Linked DNA regions of Kluyveromyces lactis. The protein of the gene in region 5 purifies or fractionates together with the protein of the main gene of each other region. This does not show direct contact. Links are inferred from orthologs where the notes say so. Each region holds a gene or a part of one and is shown on either strand. Other genes may lie near its edges.

Region 1 (4,308 bases), on a different chromosome or scaffold from region 5:
AAGAGTTGATTCTTGGGCCATTTCAAGGCAAAGTTGCTTGTCAGTTGATTCAATTTGGTAAAGGAGTGTGTGGTACTGCTGCGTCTAGTCAACAAACTCAATTAGTACCAGATGTTGAAAACTTCCCAGGGCATATAGCATGTGATGGGGAGACAAAGAGTGAAATTGTGGTTCCTATAGTCCAAAATGGCGAAACAGTAGGTGTTATCGATATTGACTGTTTGGACTACAACGGGTTTACTAAGCTTGACCAAGAATTTCTAGAAAAATTGGCCGCTTCAGTTTCAAAGACATGCGTATTCTAACTCATTAAGTAGTTACACTCGTTAATTATATTCTCTCAATTGATATCACAACTCTTGACCGTATATGAAGTTGCCTGTTATTGCATACCTAACATAGGGCATGCTGCCCCAGGTCCAGTGGAACAGAAGTTTTCTAGTTTTCAATGAAAAAAATGATTTCGCCCAGGATCGAACTGGGGACGTTCTGCGTGTTAAGCAGATGCCATAACCGACTAGACCACGAAACCATCTTGTGAGGTCTGTCGTAATATAGACTGAAGACAAGCCAGACGAGAGGTCATGTGAGCTAGCCAGCACACGGCAGAGTTCCAAGACGTCAGTGACTGGGCATATGGATCCTGTGGTATCCAGAAGGGATGGCCTAGATGGATCATAGACGGTCACGTGATGGTCTTGAGTGCGCGTGGAGGACGGTAGCTGCAGAGGACCTACAAGGGCATGGAGGCAATGAGTTGCCATGACGAAGTCTGACGACCATCCGAGTATATAAGTCGAGTATAAAAGGCTGAGCTATGTTGCGACCTCTTGGGGAGGTTGGACGCATATACTCAACGATCTAACTAAATAGATTATTATATTATATTCGTTATATTGTTTGATATCAACGATCCCTCATCAGGCGATTAATCAATCAACTATCATCCAAGGCATATCACAACAAGATCTGAGAGAACTACATGAGTATATGTTACATCGTTAAGAGTTTCTGAAGAAACGAAATAGGTCTCTCTTATCAGCGCCCCAAATTGGAATAATGAAGTTTACTGGAAATAGCTTCTTCAATGATGAAATTACAAACTTGAAAACGATGTTGCATCTACTAGAATAAAACTAAGATAACTGTCTATGATGCAAAAAAAATAAGAGTTAAGAATTACATTCATTGTAGGCTAGCGACCAAAGTAAATATCTTCAACGTAAGTAGAAGTATATGTGGAGTTGATTGAATACCAGTTCCCTATCTTTGCTGAAGGGTACTTTGACTTTTTCAAAATAGCATTCTTGTTCAAAACTTTGTAGAAGTAATTAATGTATCGTAATTTTCTTTCTTTTTGTTTCTTAAAATTTTCAATTTTCATCTTGAGAGATGAGATGAGATGAGCTGAAGTGAATAGACCACAGAGATAACCAGTACTTCTCAAAGTTAACGGCATCAGAAGAAGCTCTGAAAGTATAGAGAGCCAGAAAACAATACCAGAAACTATGGCCAGAAAGAATTCTTCTTTGAATGGTTCTGAATCAGCGGAGCTTGTTGTAAAAAAGAGAGTTCTCGAGGAATCTGAATTGTCCGATTCTGAAGATGAAAGAATTGAAGTTGATGGTTTAATCGATGAAGAGGCTAGCGAAAATGAAGCTGAGGAAGCTGAAGATGACGACTCTGATGCTGAATTCAATCGCTTATTAGCTGAAGAAGAAAATGGACAGGAGGAGGAGTATAATACTTCAGATTTTTCTGAAGAAGGCGATGCTTTTTCCATTACCGACAAATTGTCAAATGTAAAGTTAACAGTGATTCCAGAAACAAGCGATGAAGGCATTGTTCGTACCAAGTATTCAGATGGAAGACCAAGAATTCTTAAGTCAGAAATTAATCCTGTTTATGATAGTGATGATAGTGATGCAGAAGCTAAGAACACAATTGGTAACATCCCACTATCTGCATATGATGAAATGCCACATATTGGTTATGACATTAATGGTAAGAGAATAATGAGACCAGCCAAAGGATCTGCTTTAGATCAATTATTGGAATCTATAGAATTGCCAGAGGGTTGGACAGGTTTACTAGACAAAGACAGCGGTGCCTCTTTGAATTTGACCGAAGAAGAACTTGAATTAATCAATAAGTTGCAAAATAATCAACAGACGGACGAATCTGTGAATCCATACGAACCTTTAATCGACTGGTTCACTAGACACGAATCTGTAATGCCAGTTACGGCCGTCCCAGAACCGAAAAGACGTTTCGTTCCGTCAAAGCACGAAGCCAAGCGTGTGATGAAAATAGTCAAAGCAATCAGAGAAGGTAGAATTATCCCACCAAAGAAACTAAAGGAATTAAGAGAAAAAGAAGAACAAGACAGTCATAACTACGATCTCTGGGGAGATGCCGAAGAAATCTCTGAACATGTTATGAACTTGAGAGCCCCAAAATTGCCACCACCAACAAATGAGGAGTCTTACAACCCTCCGGAAGAGTATCTTTTGACCCCAGAGGAAATTGATGCATGGGAAAAGATGGAACCAAGTGAAAGAGAGAGAAATTTTGTGCCTCACAAATTCGCTGCATTAAGAAAAGTTCCAGGTTACTCTGAATCTGTCAGAGAAAGGTTTGAAAGATCATTAGATTTGTATTTAGCGCCTCGTGTTCGCAAAAATAAGTTGAACATTGATCCTGAATCTTTGATCCCAGAATTGCCCTCTACAAAAGATTTGAGACCATTTCCAATCCGTTGCTCTACCGTTTATGTCGGTCATAAAGGAAAAATTCGTACAATGTCCATTGATCCAACTGGATTATGGTTGGCTACTGGTTCCGATGATGGCACTGTCAGAGTATGGGAAATTCTTACAGGTAGAGAAGTTTACCAAGTCACAATACTTAATGCGGAAGAAAACAATGATGACCACATAGACGTTGTTGAATGGAATCCCGACAGTACTACCGGTATCCTTGCGGTTACTGCTGGCGAAAACATCTTCTTGCTTGTTCCACCAATTTTCGGCTTTGAAATTGAAAACACAGGTAAATCAAAGATTGAATACGGTTTTGGTTTCGATACTTTCGGAAACGTCAAAAAGAGTAATCTCAATGTGAATAGCGATGATGAGGATGACGGTGCTGAATCACATGCTGTCAAGAAACAGGTTGCTCAATGGAATAAACCAACCGAAAGGCAAGCTGCCAATGATATTTGTATCGTAATAACTTGTCGTAAATCAGTGAAAAAGCTTTCATGGCATAGAAAAGGTGATTACTTTGTCACTGTTCAACCAGACTCAGGTAATACATCAGTTTTGATTCATCAATTATCCAAGCATTTAACTCAATCGCCATTCAAAAAATCTAAGGGTATCATTATGGATGCAAAATTCCATCCATTCAAGCCACAGCTCTTGGTCTGTTCTCAAAGATACGTCAGAATTTATGACCTATCGCAACAAGTGCTAATCAAGAAACTTCTACCTGGTGCTCGTTGGTTATCTACTATTGATATTCACCCAAGAGGTGATAACTTAATTGCATCCTCGTTTGACAAGAGAGTGTTGTGGCATGATCTTGACCTTGCAAGCACTCCATATAAGACCTTGAGATACCATGAGAAGGCTGTAAGAAGCGTAAGTTTCCACAAGAAACTACCACTGTTTTGCTCAGCTGCGGATGATGGTAACATCCATGTTTTCCATGCCACGGTCTATGACGATTTAATGAAGAACCCTATGATCGTCCCGTTGAAGAAACTAACCGGCCACAAGATTGTGAATAGTTTAGGTGTTCTAGATACTATATGGCATCCACGTGAAGCTTGGCTATTCTCTGCAGGTGCCGACAAAACCGCTCGTTTGTGGACTACCTGATAGAACCCTCATGACGGGATATTTGTAAAACACTGTATACTATGGACATCATTACCTATCAATATTACAAGTAGATACTTTCTAATTAGTGTTCAAGGGAATACATTATTATCTTTGGATCAGAGCTCAAAAGGTATCCATGTCTCTCATCATTGCCATTTCCTCATCTGATGCGATATCATTACCGTTATTTGTTGTGCTGGCAACGGTCGTAATTTTACTCAATTCGTCTAACTCTTCAGCGTTAGGCAGAGCGTAGCCATTTTGTGTATGTTGCCGTATGTTTGTATCAGTGGTGGACAACATTTCATTCGTGTGCCGCTGGTGATGCGAAGAATATAGAACATCATCATCATCATCATCATCATCATCATCGTCATAGTTGCCGTCATTATTCTGATTTTTGTCTTTGTCTAGGCTGATA
Region 2 (2,490 bases), on a different chromosome or scaffold from region 5:
AAAAGAATCTTTCGGCATGACAAAAGCTGCAATCTCTTCCAATTCCTCCTTGGTAAACTTAGATTCAGCCTCAGTAGAGAATGCTTCCCAGAATTGTGCACTTTCTACATCATCTTGGATAACATTCGGTATTTCCTTCTTGCTAGCTTCAATCTCGTTGTATAAATAAGTAGACGGTTTTGGGCCAATCAGTGAATAAGTTGGTAACAGATACTCGTACCATCTAGAGCTACACATTTTCCGACAGTCGAATGCCTTGTTGACACGGGAAATGTCCCAAACTCTAATCTGATCCGGCAATTCGTTGTTGATTTTTTCTTTGACTTCGGGATCTTCGATGATTAACTTTAATGAAATCACATTCCCACCTGCATGAACACCTTTATCGGTTCTTGCCGCACGTTGAAACCCGTTTTTCTTCAAATCTGTCGAATTTGCCTTGGATATCGCACCAGCTCTAACAAAGGCTTCAAACAGTTCCTTTTCAATGGTGTCGTTCGGTGGATTGTATTGCATTCCATGATATCCAGTACCGCAGTACCCAATCATGACTGCTACTTTCCTCTTGGGTAGACGAACTTCTTGGGGAATTGGATTTCCATCAGCATCCACAGCTAAAGCCACTGACTCGTCCTTATCCTTGGATCGAGTCTCTTTCTTTTCGTTGGAAAGGTCTGTGACAACAGCGGTTGGCCCATTATCAGTGTCGTTTGGTTTCTGACGCTTTTCAGAATTCTCACCATCCTCATAGTCAGCTTTCCGTGATCTGGTCTGCTTGTAGATGGCGCCTCTCTTGTAAGTATCTTCACCAGGTTGATCATCATCATAAACCGGTCTCAAATTTTGTTCTTCGCTCATAACACCCGCTTCTAGTTTTCCCTATTGAAGCACCTCTGCAGATAGATAAGTGGTAGGTCTGATTGAGCCTTAAGAAGAATAGAAAAGCCCAATTTAGCATTCAACGTTCAACCTTGAGACTTTCAATCAGAGCGATGAGCTGTTGATAAAAGTTTAAACTTTCCAAGATTTGTATGAAGAATCATATTTTTTCAGCAAAGAGGTCAGCGATGATCTAAGAAAATCATGAATACAGGAATAACATATTTCTTTAGCTCATTTTATCCATTTGGATACTCATTATGTGCGTTAACCTCTATCTGGAGCCCAGTGTATCGATTGTAAAAGGTTTGAGCACCTGTATACTGCGTTTACGAAGGTTATTAGATATATTTCTCAGTATCACGTGATTTGTTTGTTTCTTTTTCCTGGTATCTTGAAGGGCAGCATCAAATTTTCTTTTCATCATTATTAGACTGAAGCTCATCGCATAAAAGATGATGCTATACCTGAAGCGATGAGTACTCTACGAAATAGTATTCGAAGCTGTTGTATTGAATTCAAAGCCGGTCAGAATCAGGTATCGAAATAATAGCAATGAGACAATTGACAGAGGAAGAGACGAAAGTAATCTTCGAGAAGCTAGCAGGGTACATTGGAAGGAATATAGTGTACTTGGTGGATAATAAAGATCAACCTCATGTTTTCCGACTACAGAAGGATAGAGTGTACTATGTCCCAGAGCACATTGCCAATTTAGCTACTTCAGTTGCTAGACCGAACCTGATGTCATTGGGTCTCTGCATGGGGAAGTTTACCAAGACTGGGAAATTTAGATTGCATATCACATCTTTGTCAGTACTTGCGCAATACGCTAAGTACAAAGTGTGGATCAAACCTAATGGTGAGATGCCATTCCTATACGGTAACCACGTTTTGAAGGCACACGTTGGTAAGATGTCCGATGATATTCCAGAGCATGCAGGTGTAATCGTATTTTCGATGCATGATGTGCCATTAGGATTCGGTGTGAGTGCTAAGAGCACTTCTGAGTCCAGAGATCTTCAACCAACCAGTATTGTCGCATTCAGACAAGCAGATATTGGTGAGTACTTGAGAGATGAAGATACATTGTTTACTTAGGCGAATACTCCAAAGTACATTTTCACTTACTTGTTACATATATAGAACTTATTACTCATTTCACTTTCTGGATAGAACAAAACCTTCCCCTGGTGCAACTGCAATTCAGCGATGTTCCCACCTCAAAAAAAAGTTGTTATTTATCAACGATATTGTATATTATGATATATTACGGAACAAATAATACTCACATCTTCATCAAAGACTGTCTAAATTAAAATCAAAGACGACTGATATTTGATATCGCAGGAAAAACTACATTAATTAAAAGTAAAATGAATGTACATATGTTGTTAGTTCCCTCTAATGCTTACGCGAGTTTTTAGATTTAGCATTTGACGTTTTTTTACCTGCTGGCTTCTTCACGGCTTTCTTAGTGATATCTAATTTGGCTTCTGAAGCCTTAGATGCTTTAAAACCTTGAGTGTTCTTCCCAGAAATGTTCTTTTTGCTAACCCTATAAGTTGATCTCTCCTTTAACGGTAACCATCTTTCAGGATCCAACTTCTT
Region 3 (3,256 bases), on a different chromosome or scaffold from region 5:
TATCAGATTTGAGGGCACACAACAGGACATACGGAATGGGAGAAACACAGTTTCACCAGTATCAGGATGAACAGTAGAATCTAGCTGTTTCTTTGCATGCCAGAACTCAGGCGTCGTTTCTTTCAACTCTCCATGGCGATATGCACTGATGATTTTGCGAGCTTGTTGAAGATCATCACTGCTCGTTAACAACATCGTTGGATCAGAAATCTCTGCGCAGTGACGAACACGTCCCCAATAGGTGCTTAGATCATAACGAGATTCTGGTAGGGCAATTGGACCTGGGACACTGGATGCCATGATAAGCTGTACTCAAGTGTATCGAAGTCTTTTGGATGAGCTGAGCTTCTACGAGACAAACACGACTTTGTTCTTGCTTAATTACTTTCGAGATGAGATGACTCTTTAGATATAAATGCATTATTCTCTCGAGCTTGCATTTTTTTTTTTCATTCTGCAGCGTCAGAATGATACGTACGGCGTTACAAAGCTGCTGGAATTCTGATAAGAAAAAAGACAGTAATTATTGATCTAGCAATAGGTTATTATAATTCTCTTATTCTCGGAGAAACTGTACTAGTGAAACGATGATGATTCCAACCACTTCGATTTCCAATTTAGCAATAACATATTTGTCTTTGCCCTAATCATATTCTTAACATGTCTAAAGGTAATATGATAATTTACCCGGACAACTAATTTTCTCTGCCTGAAAAAAAAAAAGAACAGACATCCAGTATAAATTGAGAAGCTTTTCACCTTGAGAAAAAGACAAGGTTAAAGCAAGTACTCTAAGTTAATCAAATTCGAGTCGACTGTTCTTTTGATTATTTGGCTTAAAAAAGTGATACGAAACATATTAATGCCTTCTATTCACTGTGCCATCTGATACACCGTAGATGAACAGAGGGGAAAAGAACGGCTAGATGAAAATTCTATCCGCGAGCGTACCTCATACTGATTAAAGTACTTAACTATTTTTCATCAATTGGCTTTAATTGGTAGCTGCGTGAGCGGGACATTCTCTATCTCTTGTCACTCCTGAATTTACTTATACTTGTATATACCATATATTACTCGTGAAAATGTTTAGTATTACACGGTCATTAGTCTGTCACTTAGCTATTGGTGTACTGACTAATTTCCACTACCCGGTTCCTTAAAACATATACACGTGACTGGCATTTATTTCTGGCGGATTTCTTTTTCGAGCAGTGGTTTGTTTCCCAAAAATTTTCCAAGCTCATCGCATCTTACAACGCTTAGAAAATGTACAAGATAGGAAGAATAGAGTTAACGCGCTCCATCGTACCTCAGTAACAACGTGCGATCACAATCTATTAGACAATTCAAACTAGAATTCACTGGAAGAATATCTTAGTTATAAGGAGAAGTAAACTGTAGGGGAATATGTCAACAGATAAGACTCAGGTGAAGCTACGCTTCTTTACTCGTGAAGAAGATGAGACTTTACATGTCAATGATGCTCCAATCTATGCTCCAGTTAGTCTAAAGAGATATGGTCTTTCTGAAATTGTTAATCACCTACTGGAATTACCTAAATCTATGCCATTTGATTTCCTTATCGATGGTGAACTTTTGAGAACATCGTTGCAGGACTATTTGATCAAGAAAGGTTTATCATCGGAAACCTTTTTGAATGTTGAATATACTAGAGCAGTGCTACCACCTTCATATTTGTCTAGTTTTGATAACGAAGATTGGGTAAGCTCATTGGATGTCGGAAGCAATTACATCTACAGTGGTTCCTATGACGGTATCGTAAGAACGTACAACTTGTCAGGGAAAGTCGAAAAACAATACAGTGGTCATTCTGGCCCTATTCGTGCTGTGCATTACATTTCTAGTACGAGATTGGTGTCCGCAGGGAATGATCGCACTCTACGTCTGTGGAAAACGAAGAATGATGATTTGAAATCAATTGATGAAGAAGAAATTGAGGATGGTAAGACATTGGCCATCTTGGAAGGTCATAAAGCCCCTGTAGTGTCCATTGATGTTTCGAAAGACCGTATTCTATCTGCATCATGCGATAATACGGTGAGCTTGTGGTCCACGAATTATAAAGAGATGACTGTCATTGATCCGATGGAGGATTTAGGAGGCAACGTGTCTACTGCAGCCAAGAAGAGGAGAAAGTTGACTCTAAAAGATGGATCTATCAGAAGAAGAGCCCCTTTGGCTCTTTTTGAATCTCACAGTGCTCCAGTAGAGGCTGTCATTTTCGATAAATCGGATGATACTGTTGGGTATTCCGTGTCACAAGATCATACTATAAAAACATGGGATCTGATAACGGCAAAATGTGTCGATACAAAGACGACATCGTACTCACTTCTTTCTGTTGCGCAACTACCAAAATTAAATCTCTTAGCATGCGGGTCGAGTGCCAGACACATTACTCTTCATGATCCTCGTGTAAATTCTTCATCTAAAATCACCCAACAGCAGCTTGTAGGTCACAAGAACTTCGTTGTCGCTTTGGATACTTGTCCAGAAAATGAATATATGATATGCTCTGCATCTCACGATGGAACTGTCAAGGTTTGGGATGTTAGGTCTAACACTGCAATGTACACTATCACCAGAGAAGATAAAAATGTTGTTAAAGGTGTCAATGATAAAGTGTTTGCTGTCAAATGGGCTAAAGGCGTAGGTATCATCAGCGGTGGTCAAGACAAAAAAATTCAAATTAATAAAGGTGATAATATATTTAGTAACTAATCGTAATTTTATATATTATATACAGGAATTATGCTCACTAGTTCACTTAAATATAAAAGAAATGTACCACAAAAAATGTTGAGAAACAACATAGTATTTGCAGGGTTCTAATGTTAATTATCTTTTTAGTTCCGAATGGAATTTGGCTAGACCATAAAACCCTTGGAATAAGGATTCGTAGTCTGTTAGGTAACCATTCAAATTTTTAACATCAACCTGGTTGGAATGATCTTCCCATCCACGTAATTTACGTAGTCTTGCTAGCTCATCGTATGTGAATTGTACTAGTGGTCTAGTTCCGTATTTCAACGGTCCAACATTAACCCAGTGTAAACGTCCTGTACAATTGTTAGAAAGCATCTCAATAGCATTGAAGTAATCAAACATGTTTGCTGCTGTGTCAATAAAGAATGCAGAACATACTATTATATTTTTGTATTTTTTCTCTGGTTTATAGCAGCAAAAGTCACCGAAAAGTACTGTTAAGTTCTCTGGCTTTTGGAACTTATCC
Region 4 (2,584 bases), on a different chromosome or scaffold from region 5:
CTATTTCCAGTTCCAGCGAAAGTGCTTTTCTTTAACGGGGTTCTCAACCTTCTTCTGGTCACGGGGTCTGTCCTGTTTGATGACGAAACGGGTTTGGAGGTGATGGATAGGACACGTCCTATCCATAGAATGATCGAGGAGAACCATCTTGGTGATCTGAAATGACCTCTTCCAGAGAATCCGTACGCTGGGTCCTTCCCCATCAGATAACCGTACAAGGGACCGTAAGTCCATGTGTCTAGGCAGGAGTAAACGTATCCAGCACAAAACCCGACCATTGTGACGCAAAACCTGCTGTAACCATCGGTCCCGTCATCAAATAAGAACGAAACGAAAAGATGCACTAGCGATAGATATTTACCCAAGATTGGGAATAATCCGTAGAACATTACCTTCACGTTGCTGTTGTCCAGAGTCCACGTATATAGGATCATTCCTATGAATGCGTTAGTGAACACTGGGTATGAGATCTGGCATGCTTCTACGAGCACGACGATCAATGCAAAGTTGAAACATATGTAAAACAAATAATCGATGGATTTGTTGCTGAAGTGCACTAATTCGAGATGTAACGATTTCGAGTATACTGCGTATAGGTCGAAACATGCTTTCATGGCATCGTTTGGTAAGATGAGGAAACTAGTGAACAACCTCCAGATTTGGAACTTGAACAATACACCACGTAAAGACCATTTGAAATCGCTGAAATAGTACGGTAATACGTTCAAGCGTTGGATCAAACATATTAACACCATTAAGAGACATATTCCTCGGGTCACCGGTGGAATTTGTCCTACAAACTGTATCAATTCGTTACGCATAGTCATGGCTGCTATGAATAATCACGCGTATCGTATATCCCACTGATGTTACTGAATGGTACCTCCGGTGTCTATCTTGACAGCGCATCTGTATAGTGAGTATAAATATCTTTCTTTCACTGCAACTTGGAACTGAAATTTCATAGAACCCGAAAATTAAAGCTATGGGAAAGACATAGATAGGAAAGCACAGAATGACAGAAATTGAATAGTTAAGTAATGATCCTCTACACAGGTATACGCCTAGATTTGTTTTCTACTTAGTGCATGGCAGAGCATATGAATTGGTCTAGATAAATTAGGTCAGGACGGCTAGATTGCCCTTATGCAATCATGTTATAGTTATCTATGTATTTCTTTCTGTATCTCGAAGTTTCAATATTTGGAAAAAGCATTAAAACGGAAAAACTTGCTGATGCGATGAGCTGAAGAAAGCAGATAGGCTTTTCACTTACTGAGGTGGTGCTGAGACCGGTTCAAGTTCTGCAGAAGATACAGAGTAGCAGTGTGGATATAGAGTGAAAATGGTGGCAAAGAGTAATCGTGAGATTCTTACCGGTGGTAAATCTTACAAGCAGAAAGCTGCTAAGAAATTCGGTGCTGATGAGGTAAAGTTCGATAAGGACTCACGGTTGGAATACTTAACTGGGTTCCATAAGAGAAAGCTTGATAGACAAAAGAAAGCCAAGGAGTTCATCCAAGAGCAAGAGAGAAAAGCTAGGCTCGAGGAAAGGGCCAAGATCAGAGCAGATAAAAAAAAGGCTCTTGAGAAACAGCTTGAAGATTTTAAACAGGCGATGAAAGATGTCGGTGATTATGTCGGTGTAGAGGACGACGACGAAGAAGCCGAAAATGGGAAACAGGGAAGCGATGAAGAGGCTGAAGAATGGACGGGATTTTCCGATGATAACGGAGATGCAACTGAAGAAGAAGAAGAGGATTCTGACTCTGTTAGTGTGAAACCGATCTTAAAGAAATATGTACAGACTTACTTAGATGATACTACGGTAGACATCGAACCCTTAGAGCCCAATGACAATTTTGAGTACCTTGCGGAATTAAATAATGTGAAGTTAGAGAAATCGGAACAAATTTTAGATCAAAGCATCGAACGTGCGAAGAAATATGCAAAGTTTTTGGGAGTTGAAGAAAAATCTGGTAATAAGAGTAAAAAGAATAAGAAGTTCAGATACTTGACCAAGAACGAGAGAAGACAAAATCAAAGAAAGGCCAACAATAATAAACGTAGGAAGTAATTAACCTTTTTTTTTTATTTATTATCTTCCTCTCTTTCTAAACATCTCATTCATCCATTTTCCCCCCCTCTGTTGTTGCAATGTATTCTACCTCGACTTTAAAGAATAACCAAATCCATCTTCTGATTATCTCTAAAATTTGTAACCAAAAGATGTTTAATTCCCCATAAAATACAGAGTGCCCACTGATATACTCCCAGAACCATACGAATCTCAAAATAAAATCGAGCGCCATAGCGCTATAATACCACGCATTTTTCCGGTACAACAAAATGCTTCTTAAAAGACCGTCCGCTTTGTTACTACTATTATTGTTATTGACACTAGTGTCCCCATTCACAAAATCGAACAGCTCTAGTTTCCAATCCATGGTCACATCCCACCAGAATGAATACGCGGAATTCCAAAACATGAACCAATACATCATTCCAAGTGGGCCCAGGTTGTAATATCTTGTATAGACTGTAACTAGCATGATAGGAATATTACCAGCATACTTAAAAGCAT
Region 5 (3,675 bases):
ATTTGTACGATGCATCAGAATATTTTACGATTTGAGAGGCGATTTACCTGTGTCCGCATTCATTCCAGATATGGAATCCTCAACTAAACTATTCAACGCGCAGAAAGCAGTATATCAACGTAAAGCTGCCAAGGATAAATCAGAAATCATGCGCATTCTAGCAAAGGAGAATTATAGTTTGATACCTGAACCACTCATAGATAAAATGCTCGAGAACTTAAAACATTTGGATGCAATTAAAATGGGTAGCCTCTCATCGGCAACTAGAACTATAAGTGAAAAACCGAAGTTCAATAAGTTGCTATCGCTACAAAACGATAGACATGATACAACGTTTGTCAGCCCTGCGATGGCATCAATTCTTGGTGCAATGGTATCACAAGAATGCGTGAAATTATTGACACATCAATATGTACCGGTTGAAAACACATTGTTATATGACGGGGACTCGAATGAAACAAGCACATTTATATTATAATAGATTTATCTACGATATGTAATTGACTATAAATCATCGAAACTTCCTTGCATGGAGTTATGCTTCTTTTTCTTGTTTTGTCTTACAAGGTCTTTCCAGTCTTGCTCAACTTCATCTTCTGATTCCTCATCGCCCCGCAGAAGTTTCTCTTCAATTGCCTTCCTCTTGATGGCCATAGCTGCTCTTCTTTCAGCTTTGGCTTCTTTAGTTAGTGTCTTATCGGACCATGCCATGTTCTTCTTCTTTAGCTCACTTTTCAGTTTCTTTTTATCGCTTATTTGCTTGAGGTTTTGTAATTCTTGTAACCTCGCCTTCTCCTTTTGTTTATCTAAGTAAGCAAATGTGTCTAAATTCACTGGTGGTGATACCAACCAACCTTCCTCCGGAATTTGGTCGGCAGCATACCTGGTTATTTCGGGCATACGTGGCAGACGTAACAACCCGTAAAAGTTCGCAACGCCGATGAAATCCATGGAGTGGAATCTGAAGATCGATGATGCAGTATGCTTTGAGTAGTATTTTATAAATGCAACGTATGCTCTTACGCTGTGATCGAATCTTGCTCTATCGTGTAAAATCCAATCGTGGAATATTTTGGTTAGATTCTCTACGCCTTTCAGTTCCACAGATTCTTCTTCTAGTTTGACGTTTTTCACTTCCAGGAATGGTACGTAATCTTCTTCTCTACCTTCATTTAAAAACACAAGTGCCTTACCAATCCTATTAGCCCTACCTGTTCTACCACATCTGTGAATGAATATATCTGCATCTGTTGGTGGATCAAGTTGGATAACTAGATCAACATCTGGTATGTCTATCCCTCTAGCAGCAACATCTGTGGTGAATAGTACGGCATCGGTCAAGTTAGAAGTGAAACTGTCAAGCGTCTTCATTCTCGATTGCGTCTGTAGCTTTCCGTGTAGTGAGAAGAGTTTTAGATCATCCTGAATCAAATTAAGCTCTTTCAAATGGTTTATGAATGCGTAAAAATATGTGACCGAGATACATGTCGGGAAGTAAACTATGCATTTCTTGAATCTGTAGTTGTTGAGTAGAGTCAACAATAGTTGTAATTTATCCTTAGGTGGAATGACGATATAGTTTATCGAAAGAGATGAAGGTGCGCTCGAGTTAGACTTCACAGCAACTTTCACTGGATTTCTCATACCTGTTTTGAAGATTTGCGCACCCGCACTTTCGATTGTTGCCGAAAACAACCCTGTTCTTCTTTGCTTCGGCAACATCTTTAAAATGGTTTCTACATCTTTCTGGAAATTCAAATCCAATAACTTATCAGCTTCATCTAACACGACGGTACCACAGGAAGCAGTCTTTACATTAGTCTTCTGCAAAAAATCTAGGACTCTCCCAGGAGTACCAACTAGTATTTGGGGTCTGTTATCTGTAAAACTATTGATATCGTCTCGAACACTAGCGCTACTTGTTCCGACGAGTAATTGCGACCGTATTGGGTACAGATTATCTGGATAATACTTCAGAAAGTCTTCTATCACATCATGAATCTGACTGGCTAATTCCCTGGTTGGTGAAATGATTAACGAATGGAAATGTGATTTCTTGAATTTGGCCGAATTGGCTTCTTCTTTTATCAACCTTTCTAAAATTGGAATCACGAACGCTATAGTCTTACCAGATCCTGTAACAGATTCTACCACGACATCCTTGTTACCAGAGAACAACGGAATAGTTGAGGCTTGAACTGGCGTCATGGTCTCAAACCCCATCGATTCTATAGCCGTTCTAATCCATGGTTGTATCTCGCATTTCAAATCGTCCCACGATAACGACTTCGACATTTTGTATCAGTTCGAAACTTTAGACTAGGCTTTGGAGTGGTGAGTTTATACCTTGTTGGTCAAATCTTACTCCTGGATTTCAAATGTATGCATATGTTCACACTGATTTAATCTGGATACATTTTCCCGATGAGATGAGATGAGCTTGAACTTATTTTTTTTCTTTCCAGCTGCCATCCCAATAGAAAAGAAAAAAAATTCCATTAAATCTGTACAAACTTGCATTTAATGCTGATTGGCATTGATGCGGCGTTGTTCTCGATGGTTGTTCCATTCATAACAATTTGTATTCAAATTTGTTTGATATGATCTATTTGTTAAACTTCTATGAAGTTATATTAGCCTTGTGATATAATTCTTTCAAGACTACATATACTGGGATGGGATTTTTATCAAAACTTTTCAAACTAGATGGTAAAGGCACTGTGTCAGCAATGTCCACTGACCAGTCTGCTTATAAGAATTGGACCAGGGAACAGTTGATTGAGCGATTGCTACAGCTGGAAAATACTAGTGAAAATGGTAGTGATGCTAAAGGAAATAACTCAGATACCGTGGCTGAGGTAAAAAAGCGATCTGCGGACGCTGCTGTTGAAGCAGAGAGAAGAAAGAACGTCAAGAAACCTAGGAAATCAAGGGAATTCGACTTCTCCAAATACAACACACGGTTTGTCGCCTTCAAGTTTGCTTATTTGGGATGGAACTATAACGGATTGGCAATTCAAAAAGATGCGACTCCTTTACCTACTGTCGAGGGTACGATATTAGAGACCATGAATAAATGCAAACTTGTTCCGTCCATGGTTCCTCAAGAATATAAGTTTAGTAGATGTGGAAGAACAGACAGAGGCGTTAGTGCCATGAATCAAGTAATTTCATTGAGAGTTCGTTCGAATCTCACTGCAGAAGAGCAGCTTGATCCCAGCTATGACGACAAGGAGATTCAATATGTTAATATTTTAAACCAGATTTTACCAGAAGATATCAGAGTATCTGCAGTTTGCCTACGGCCACCAAAAGGTTTTGATGCCAGATTCAGCTGTAAAAGTCGACATTACAAATACTTGTTCAGCTCAGAGGGTTTGGATCTTGAAAGGATGCAACTGGCAGCCAAACACTATGAAGGTGAGCATGATTTCAGAAACTTTTGCAAATTAGATGGTTCAAAACAGATTACAAATTATAAGAGGACAATTAAAAGTTCAAATATCATGCACGTCAGCGAAGACATGTACTGCTTTGACTTGGTAGGTTCAGCTTTCTTGTGGCATCAAGTGAGGTGTATGGTGGCTAATCTATTTCTCGTTGGCCAAGGTCTTGAAGATCCCAATCTAATCAAAGAAATGTTGGATATAGAAAAGATGCCCAGAAAACCAATTT
Region 6 (2,902 bases), on a different chromosome or scaffold from region 5:
TGTGTATTAATTATATGGTTGTATAATTTTTCAGTTTCTCGAGGATTCAATACTTTCACTATTAAATATGAAAGAAAAAAAAAAGGAATTTCGAAGCTCAAAGCATTCAAAGAGTCAGATTACAATTAAGAATCAAGAAAGTCGACTTTTGGGTTCAGCGCGGGTCCTGCAATGTTCATTCTGATAACCACTACTCGATTTTCATGCCGGTTTTTTTATCGTACTTGTCGTTTTGATAGAAAAGAAAAACATAAGACACTCGAAGTGATTTTTATTCCTTCGAGCGTGGACTTAGTCAGCCCGTAGTGGAAGTACATTTCCTACTGTTCACGCTGTAGCTCAACAAACGGCACAGTGTATTTACTATCTTCCTAGAATCACGTGAGCGAAGGGAAAAATATAACTTAAGAGTAGCATAATTCCAGTGCTGTCAGCGGTATCGCTCAGTGATTTGGAATTTAAATCGAGGAAAACGTCCTACAATTTAGGGACAGGCATGCGTTCACGGTTAAATCGTTCGAAATTTTTTCCGTCGTTCGAGCCGCCCCACTGGGATCTCTGTTGTAAGAAAAGACCGCCGATTTATGATAAAGGGCGGACTTTGCTCTGAGGTTCCTTCTCTGCCTTTTCAGCATTCTTCCTCTCGAGGGACCTTTTCCCATTTCTTTTTTTTCTTACTTGTTCTGTGTTGAGAACTTGAACCACAGTTGATCTCACGGTTGTTTCGAAACAGAGAGCGGCATAGATGGTACAAAGAATGGAGCCACGGCTGGTTTCGAAGGAAACACTGCTGTGGGCACACATTTCGAGACTCCTAAAGCCACCTCGAAAGCCAGTGTCAAAAGCCAAGATATAACGATTTCATGAGCTGATACGGAAAACTTTACTGCCGGTTAGAAGTGCTAGTTCCTGCAGCAGGTAGATAGGGGAAACTGCTTGAAAATTCGTCTCTGTATATACGATTCACATATAGACAGTCACAATTTGACTATTTGACTATTTAACTTGCTTCCCATTCTTTGGGTAACTTTCCGAAATGTTCCCATTTAATTCTGAAGAATCTTGCTGGGGTACACCATGCTGCAGCAACAGATCATCCCAGGTAAACGCCAACTTGCCAGTACCCTATTCGAGGTCAGCTTGTAATTGTAATTGTAATTGATCATCTACTTGTCTGAGTGTCAAACAGAAGATCTTGGTTTCACAGTTCACGTGACTGGAAGTGTTTCTTTTCGTTACAGAAAATTTTTTTGGCGAGGAAAAAAAAGTTCAGTGCGATGAGATGCGATGAGATGAAATTAAAGATTATGAATAAAGCTTTCAATGAGAGATGACCTTGGCTAATCTGAAGTATTAGGAGCATATAAGTTGTATTATATAGAGCTGGTTTGTGCTGAGATTAATAAACAGGGCAGTAATATAGAAGCAACAAATGTCACAACCATTGAACTCGAACCCAGAGGTTCTTTTAAGAAAGAGAAGAAATGCTGATCGTACTAGGTTGGAGAAGCAGGAGCTTGCCAAGAAGAGAAAGGAGCAAGAAGAGAAACAGAAACGTAGTAAGAAGAACAGATTTGTTAGAGCTGAGACGATAGTCGCCACAACTTTGGCTACTGAGAGAGAAAAGACCAGAATCAGAAGAGTCAGAGACTTAGAAAACCAAAAGGTCAAGAACGATTTGTCACATATCCCATCCGATAGGGATTTTATCTTGCGTATCTCTGAAAGAGAAGCCGGTAGTAAGGCTACATCCGAATCTGAGCTTCAAGATGTTGATGAGGAAGATGAAGAGGACGATGGGTTAATCAGGGAAAAAATCGTATACGATGGTGAGCCAAGCTTATTATTTGTTATAAGAGTGAAAGGACCCACAGCTGTGAAGATCCCAGCAAAGGCTTACAAAGTGTTATCTCTTTTGAGACTTGTTGAGTTGAACACTGGTGTTTTCATCAAACTTACCAAGGACGTGTACCCATTGTTGAAACTTGTATCACCATATATTGTTATCGGACAACCTTCACTTGCATCTATCCGTTCTTTAATCCAAAAGAGATCTAGAATAATGTGGCAAAGGCCAGAAGATAAAGAACCAAAAGAGATAATCTTGAATGACAACAATATCGTTGAAGAGAAATTAGGTGATGAAGGTGTCATTTGTATCGAGGATATCATCCATGAGATTTCGACGTTGGGCGAAAATTTCTCGAAATGTACTTTCTTCCTATTACCATTCAAATTGAACAGAGAAGTCAGTGGATTCGGTGCCATCTCCCGTTTGAATAAACTGAAAATGCGCGAACAAAACAAGAAGACTCGTCAAATTTCAAACGCTGCCACGGCTCCAGTTATCCAAGTAGATATCGACTCAATGATTTCCAAGTTGAATTGATTAACTATAAAAGGAAAATATCTGTACAATAGACATCGGGCTCCCATTGGCCCTACCCACATATGTAGAAATACATTACTCTATTCACTACTGCATTTAGTTATGTTTAACATTTGATATAGCAGACGCTACCGCCAGGCACAATATATTCCCCTTCCCTCTTGCCATTCGCTGTACTTGTGGTGGATTCCAATTCAGCGCAGTCACGTGCTAGTAATCACCGCATTTTTTTCTTTTCCTTTCAGGCTAAAACCGGTTCCGGGCCTGATCCCTGCACTCATTTTCTAACGGAAAACCTTCAGAAGCATAACTACCCATTCCAGTTTAGAGTCATGACAGGTTCAACATCAGATGCTTCATATACTTTTATATATTGAATTATATAAATATATCTATGTACTCTAAGTAAGTACATCTGCTTTAACGCATTCCTACATTTGCTTCGATTTATTTTTATTGTTGATACCTATTTGAAGAAGTAAAAAGTATCCCACACTACACAGATTATACCAT
Region 7 (4,078 bases), on a different chromosome or scaffold from region 5:
CCATTAAAATTGGGATAGCAAACAGTACGGCAAAGAACAAGAAGGTTTTGAGACCTCCCCCAACTTTCCTTGTTACATAGTAAGGAATACCACCGAGCAAGGAGAATAATAACCAATTGGAAAAGTGTCTGGAAGAAGGTCCCTCTGCAGGCAATGGAGCGTTCTTAATAGCTGGTGATGCTGTCGTTTTCACGCCATATTTGGAATTCACTGGTTCAGGAGTTTCCGCCGGAGGAGTCTCCTTAAACTGAATCGTTTCAAATGAATACTTACTCATCTTCCCGTGTATTCAACGCAGTGGATACTAGATTGATATCTTGCGCAATTGAATTAAACAATACTTTATGTACAAGTATCTCATACAACCATAAATTAATCAAGTAAGTAAGTACTTGAAAGGATTTTTGATTTTTGCAGTTTTATTTTGGAATGCTTTTCTTCTTCCTTTTTTCTCTGTCTGTAACGTGTATCGTTCTACTGGCTGGAATGTACAATACGCAGATATTCTGGCCAAATATAGTGATACTGAACCCGGATGAATTAGGCTATATATACACCTACGTATAAGCGGGAACCATTATGTTGTGTGATAATTGGATATAAGATTGCAGTTACTGCCAATGGACCGAGAGGGCCATAGAATGCATCTCTATTTCGAGAGGCGGTCATAAATTTATTTAGCCTATGGTATGATCAGCAGTAGCAATAGTAGTAACTACCCATACCTATAATCTTGCAGAAATATTATAAGCATCGGTACCCTTATAGCCTGAGAGCGTTGCATAATTATTTGTAAACGTTGGCAGTGCTAATGGTTGAAAAAAAACCGAAATCATATTCCTTATTTAAAACTGTGGAACGCTAAGGGCCCTCTATATAAGTCTTGTGTTGTTACAGTAATATCAATATCCATGATAACACGTCCAAACAGATTTTTTACTGCTCGTTATTTTAACAGTGGAAACCGTGCATAGCATCAAAGCTGGCAGTTCCTCCAGTACAGTGTCCGGTGTTTCCATACCTGGTACCGCGAGCATTCTTAACCCGAACACCGCATCCAAAATTATTTCTTTTTCAGATAATTTTTCATTATTTGTGAGAAGAGTGACAATTTTTTATTTGAGAAATTGGTCTAGCGATGAGATGAGATGAGATGAGATGAGAAGAGATTAGTTGAACGTTGAACAGGTTACAACTGTTGTTTATTTGCTTTCTGATATCCTGTTCTCTTTTAGACTTGAGTGAATAGGTCACCATACATTACCGAGAAGACCAAGATGGGTAAGAAGACGCAAAAGAAGAATTCCAAAGGTCGTTTAGATAAGTACTATTACCTTGCTAAGGAAAAGGGCTACAGAGCTCGTTCTTCCTTCAAAATCATTCAAATCAATGAAAAGTATGGACATTTTTTGGAGAAGTCGAAGGTCGTTATCGATTTATGTGCTGCACCAGGTTCCTGGTGTCAAGTGGCTTCCAACTTGTGTCCTGTTAACTCCTTGATTATTGGTGTCGATATTGTTCCGATGAAAACTATGCCAAACGTTATTACTTTCCAAAGTGATATCACAACGGAAGATTGTAGATCGAAATTAAGAGGGTACATGAAGACGTGGAAAGCCGACACCGTTTTACACGATGGTGCTCCAAATGTTGGTTTGAGTTGGGCTCAAGATGCCTTCACACAGTCTCATTTAACACTGCAAGCCTTAAAATTAGCCGTTGAAAATTTAGTAGTTGGTGGTACATTTGTAACGAAGATCTTCAGATCCAAAGATTACAACAAGCTAATTTGGGTATTTCAACAGCTCTTCGAAAAGGTGGAGGCAACCAAACCTCCTGCTTCCAGAAATGTTTCTGCGGAAATTTTCGTTGTCTGCAAAAATTTCAAGGCCCCTAAGAAGTTGGATCCAAGGCTATTAGACCCAAAGGAAGTCTTTGAAGAATTACCAGATGGTCCACAAAACATGGAAGCCAAGGTTTTTAATCCAGAAAAAAAGGTCAGAAAAAGAGGTGGTTACGAGGAAGGTGATTATTTGTTATACCATGAAACTGGTCTTATGGACTTTATGAAATCAGAAGACCCAATAACTATGCTTGGAGAATATAATAAATTCATCGTAGACGAAGAAGATCATGACTGGAAAATTGTGAAGAAATTAAAGCAAACCACCAAAGAATTCTTGGCATGTATCGAAGATTTAAAGGTTCTTGGTAGAAAAGATTTCAAGATGATCCTAAAATGGAGAAAAGCAGCTAGAGAACTTTTAGGCTTGGATGAAGAGGAAGAAAAACCAGAGATTGAGGAAACACCTTTGACAGAAGAAGAGCAGATTGAAAAAGAACTAAATACTCTACAGGAGAAACAAAGGTTGTCTGTTAAGCGTGAGAAGAGAAAGAAGAACGAAATGAAACAGAAGGAAATTGTTCGTATGCAATTAAATATGATCAATCCAGTAGACATTGGTATCGAAGCTGCAGAGTTAGGTAGAGAATCAATTTTCAATTTGAAAACTGCAGAAAAAACGGGTATCCTTGATAAACTTGCCAAGGGTAAGAGAAGAATGATATTTGATCAAAATGAATTAGCCATAGATAACGATATCCACATTGATGAAAATGCGCCTCTGGATGATCGTGATGAGCTCGCTGAGGCTGATGAACTAGAATCCCAACTTGATGCCATGTACAGTAACTATAAGGAACGCAAGTCAGAAAGAGATGCAAAGTTTAGAGCTAAGCAAGCCCGTGAATCCAGTGAAGCGGACAACTGGAATGGATTCGAGGACAAACAAAGTGATGAAGAGAACGAAGAAGAAACTAAGGATTATGTTGACGACGATGACAACTCGGATCTTTCAGACTCTGACGATGATGAAGCTATCAATCAGTTGATAGCAAAATTGAAAAGTAGAGAAAACAGCAGCAAGTTAAGTTCTAAAGCTCGCGCGCTATTTTCCGATTCTTTATTCGAGGGAGTTGAACCAGATTTACCTGGTAAGGCGGATCTTGCGGATTCAGAGTCTGTGGGTGATGTCAAACAACTAACAAAGAAAAGAAAATTGAATCCACTTCCTGCAGAGCAGATTTCTGAAGCCGAATCTTCCGACGAAGATAGTGATTTCGAAATCGTCGCAAACAACGAAGATGGCGATGTAGACTCTGAGTATGATTCCGAAGAAGAGGCAAAGAGGACAAAACAAGAGAAACATTCCAAAGACATTGATATTGCGACCGTTGAAGCTATGACTCTAGCTCATCAATTGGCATTAGGTCACAAAACGAAACATGATTTAATCGAAGAGGGTTTCAATAGATATTCTTTCCGTGATATGGAAAACCTGCCCGAATGGTTCGTTGAAGAAGAAAAACAACATTCCAAAATTAATAAGCCTATCACCAAAGAAGCAGCCATGGCAATAAAGGATAAACTGAAGGCTCTAAATGCCAGACCCATCAAAAAAGTTGCTGAAGCTAAAGCCAGGAAGAAGCACCGTGCTGTTGCTCGTTTAGAAAAGTTGAAGAAGAAGGCTGGTCTAATTAATGATGACAGCGATAAATCTGAAAAGGACAAGGCTGAAGAAATTGCAAAATTGATGAGAAAGGTTACCAAGAAAGCAAAGCAAAAACCGAAGGTCACAGTTGTGGTTGCAAGTGGTAAGAATAGAGGTCTTTCCGGCAGGCCTAAGGGTGTTAAGGGTAAATATAAGATGGTTGACGGTGTTTTAAAGAACGAACAAAGGGCTTTGAAACGTATCGCTAAAAAGCATCACAAAAAATAAGGAATGCTAATCATATCACTTAATCCGTGAAATGGAATTGTACATTATATTTAGTCGTAGATAGAATATTGAATAAGATCAACCTACTTCAAAAAAGTTTTCTGATCAAATACAAAACAGAAAAGAGCACCAATCCCAAGGTAAACAGCTGAATACATAAGTTATCAGATGAGTCTAGTTTCGGAAGGTTAATTGTCATTTTAGTAGAATTTAGATAGTAAAATTTGGTGTTGTCAGTGAAAAAGTGTTCATATCCGATTTTTCCAGTATAGAAGGGTGACCGTTTCGTAAGTTCAATG

Evidence for each region.
Region 1: the proteins of SPB4 (region 5) and ERB1 purify together in Saccharomyces cerevisiae (affinity purification with mass spectrometry; 7 studies listed by BioGRID, with this or other methods). This does not show direct contact. The link is inferred for Kluyveromyces lactis from reciprocal best matches to the Saccharomyces cerevisiae genes SPB4 and ERB1.
Region 2: the proteins of SPB4 (region 5) and NIP7 purify together in Saccharomyces cerevisiae (affinity purification with mass spectrometry, with the first as the bait; 4 studies listed by BioGRID). This does not show direct contact. The link is inferred for Kluyveromyces lactis from reciprocal best matches to the Saccharomyces cerevisiae genes SPB4 and NIP7.
Region 3: the proteins of SPB4 (region 5) and YTM1 purify together in Saccharomyces cerevisiae (affinity purification with mass spectrometry; 6 studies listed by BioGRID). This does not show direct contact. The link is inferred for Kluyveromyces lactis from reciprocal best matches to the Saccharomyces cerevisiae genes SPB4 and YTM1.
Region 4: the proteins of SPB4 (region 5) and RRP17 purify together in Saccharomyces cerevisiae (affinity purification with mass spectrometry; 5 studies listed by BioGRID). This does not show direct contact. The link is inferred for Kluyveromyces lactis from reciprocal best matches to the Saccharomyces cerevisiae genes SPB4 and RRP17.
Region 6: the proteins of SPB4 (region 5) and RLP7 purify together in Saccharomyces cerevisiae (affinity purification with mass spectrometry; 7 studies listed by BioGRID). This does not show direct contact. The link is inferred for Kluyveromyces lactis from reciprocal best matches to the Saccharomyces cerevisiae genes SPB4 and RLP7.
Region 7: the proteins of SPB4 (region 5) and SPB1 purify together in Saccharomyces cerevisiae (affinity purification with mass spectrometry, with the first as the bait; 5 studies listed by BioGRID). This does not show direct contact. The link is inferred for Kluyveromyces lactis from reciprocal best matches to the Saccharomyces cerevisiae genes SPB4 and SPB1.

What each region holds. Positions count from the first base shown.
Region 1 is NC_006042.1:2,460,368-2,464,675, forward strand, and holds ERB1 (ribosome biogenesis protein ERB1), read left to right. Parts: upstream 1-1,508; coding exon 1,509-3,884; downstream 3,885-4,308. Other genes in the region: KLLA0_F26587g (L-methionine (R)-S-oxide reductase), read left to right, coding at 1-305; CSM3 (Csm3p), read right to left, coding at 4,011-4,308.
Region 2 is NC_006038.1:200,318-202,807, forward strand, and holds NIP7 (ribosome biosynthesis protein NIP7), read left to right. Parts: upstream 1-1,434; coding exon 1,435-1,980; downstream 1,981-2,490. Other genes in the region: pseudouridine synthase PUS1, read right to left, coding at 1-858; signal recognition particle subunit SRP72, read right to left, coding at 2,284-2,490. UniProt on the Saccharomyces cerevisiae protein: Required for proper 27S pre-rRNA processing and 60S ribosome subunit assembly.
Region 3 is NC_006039.1:647,162-650,417, reverse strand, and holds YTM1 (Ytm1p), read left to right. Parts: upstream 1-1,410; coding exon 1,411-2,745; downstream 2,746-3,256. Other genes in the region: FSF1 (Fsf1p), read right to left, coding at 1-300; KLLA0_C07403g (uncharacterized protein), read right to left, coding at 2,863-3,256. UniProt on the Saccharomyces cerevisiae protein: Component of the NOP7 complex, which is required for maturation of the 25S and 5.8S ribosomal RNAs and formation of the 60S ribosome.
Region 4 is NC_006037.1:186,914-189,497, reverse strand, and holds RRP17 (rRNA-processing protein RRP17), read left to right. Parts: upstream 1-1,345; coding exon 1,346-2,077; downstream 2,078-2,584. Other genes in the region: DFM1 (Dfm1p), read right to left, coding at 1-827; ERD1 (Erd1p), read right to left, coding at 2,124-2,584. UniProt on the Saccharomyces cerevisiae protein: Essential protein involved in ribosomal RNA processing.
Region 5 is NC_006041.1:1,267,521-1,271,195, reverse strand, and holds SPB4 (ATP-dependent RNA helicase SPB4), read right to left. Parts: upstream 2,296-3,675; coding exon 505-2,295; downstream 1-504. Other genes in the region: ULA1 (Ula1p), read left to right, coding at 1-478; pseudouridine synthase DEG1, read left to right, coding at 2,676-3,675. UniProt on the Saccharomyces cerevisiae protein: ATP-binding RNA helicase involved in the biogenesis of 60S ribosomal subunits. Binds 90S pre-ribosomal particles and dissociates from pre-60S ribosomal particles after processing of 27SB pre-rRNA.
Region 6 is NC_006040.1:418,003-420,904, forward strand, and holds RLP7 (Rlp7p), read left to right. Parts: upstream 1-1,432; coding exon 1,433-2,389; downstream 2,390-2,902. Other genes in the region: LEU2 (3-isopropylmalate dehydrogenase), read left to right, coding at 2,901-2,902. UniProt on the Saccharomyces cerevisiae protein: Involved in the biogenesis of the 60S ribosomal subunit. May act as a specificity factor that binds precursor rRNAs and tethers the enzymes that carry out the early 5' to 3' exonucleolytic reactions that generate the mature rRNAs.
Region 7 is NC_006039.1:51,911-55,988, forward strand, and holds SPB1 (27S pre-rRNA (guanosine2922-2'-O)-methyltransferase), read left to right. Parts: upstream 1-1,277; coding exon 1,278-3,779; downstream 3,780-4,078. Other genes in the region: KLLA0_C00715g (uncharacterized protein), read right to left, coding at 1-277; PBN1 (Pbn1p), read right to left, coding at 3,868-4,078. UniProt on the Saccharomyces cerevisiae protein: Required for proper assembly of pre-ribosomal particles during the biogenesis of the 60S ribosomal subunit. Specifically methylates the guanosine in position 2922 of the 25S rRNA at the stage of 27S pre-rRNA maturation.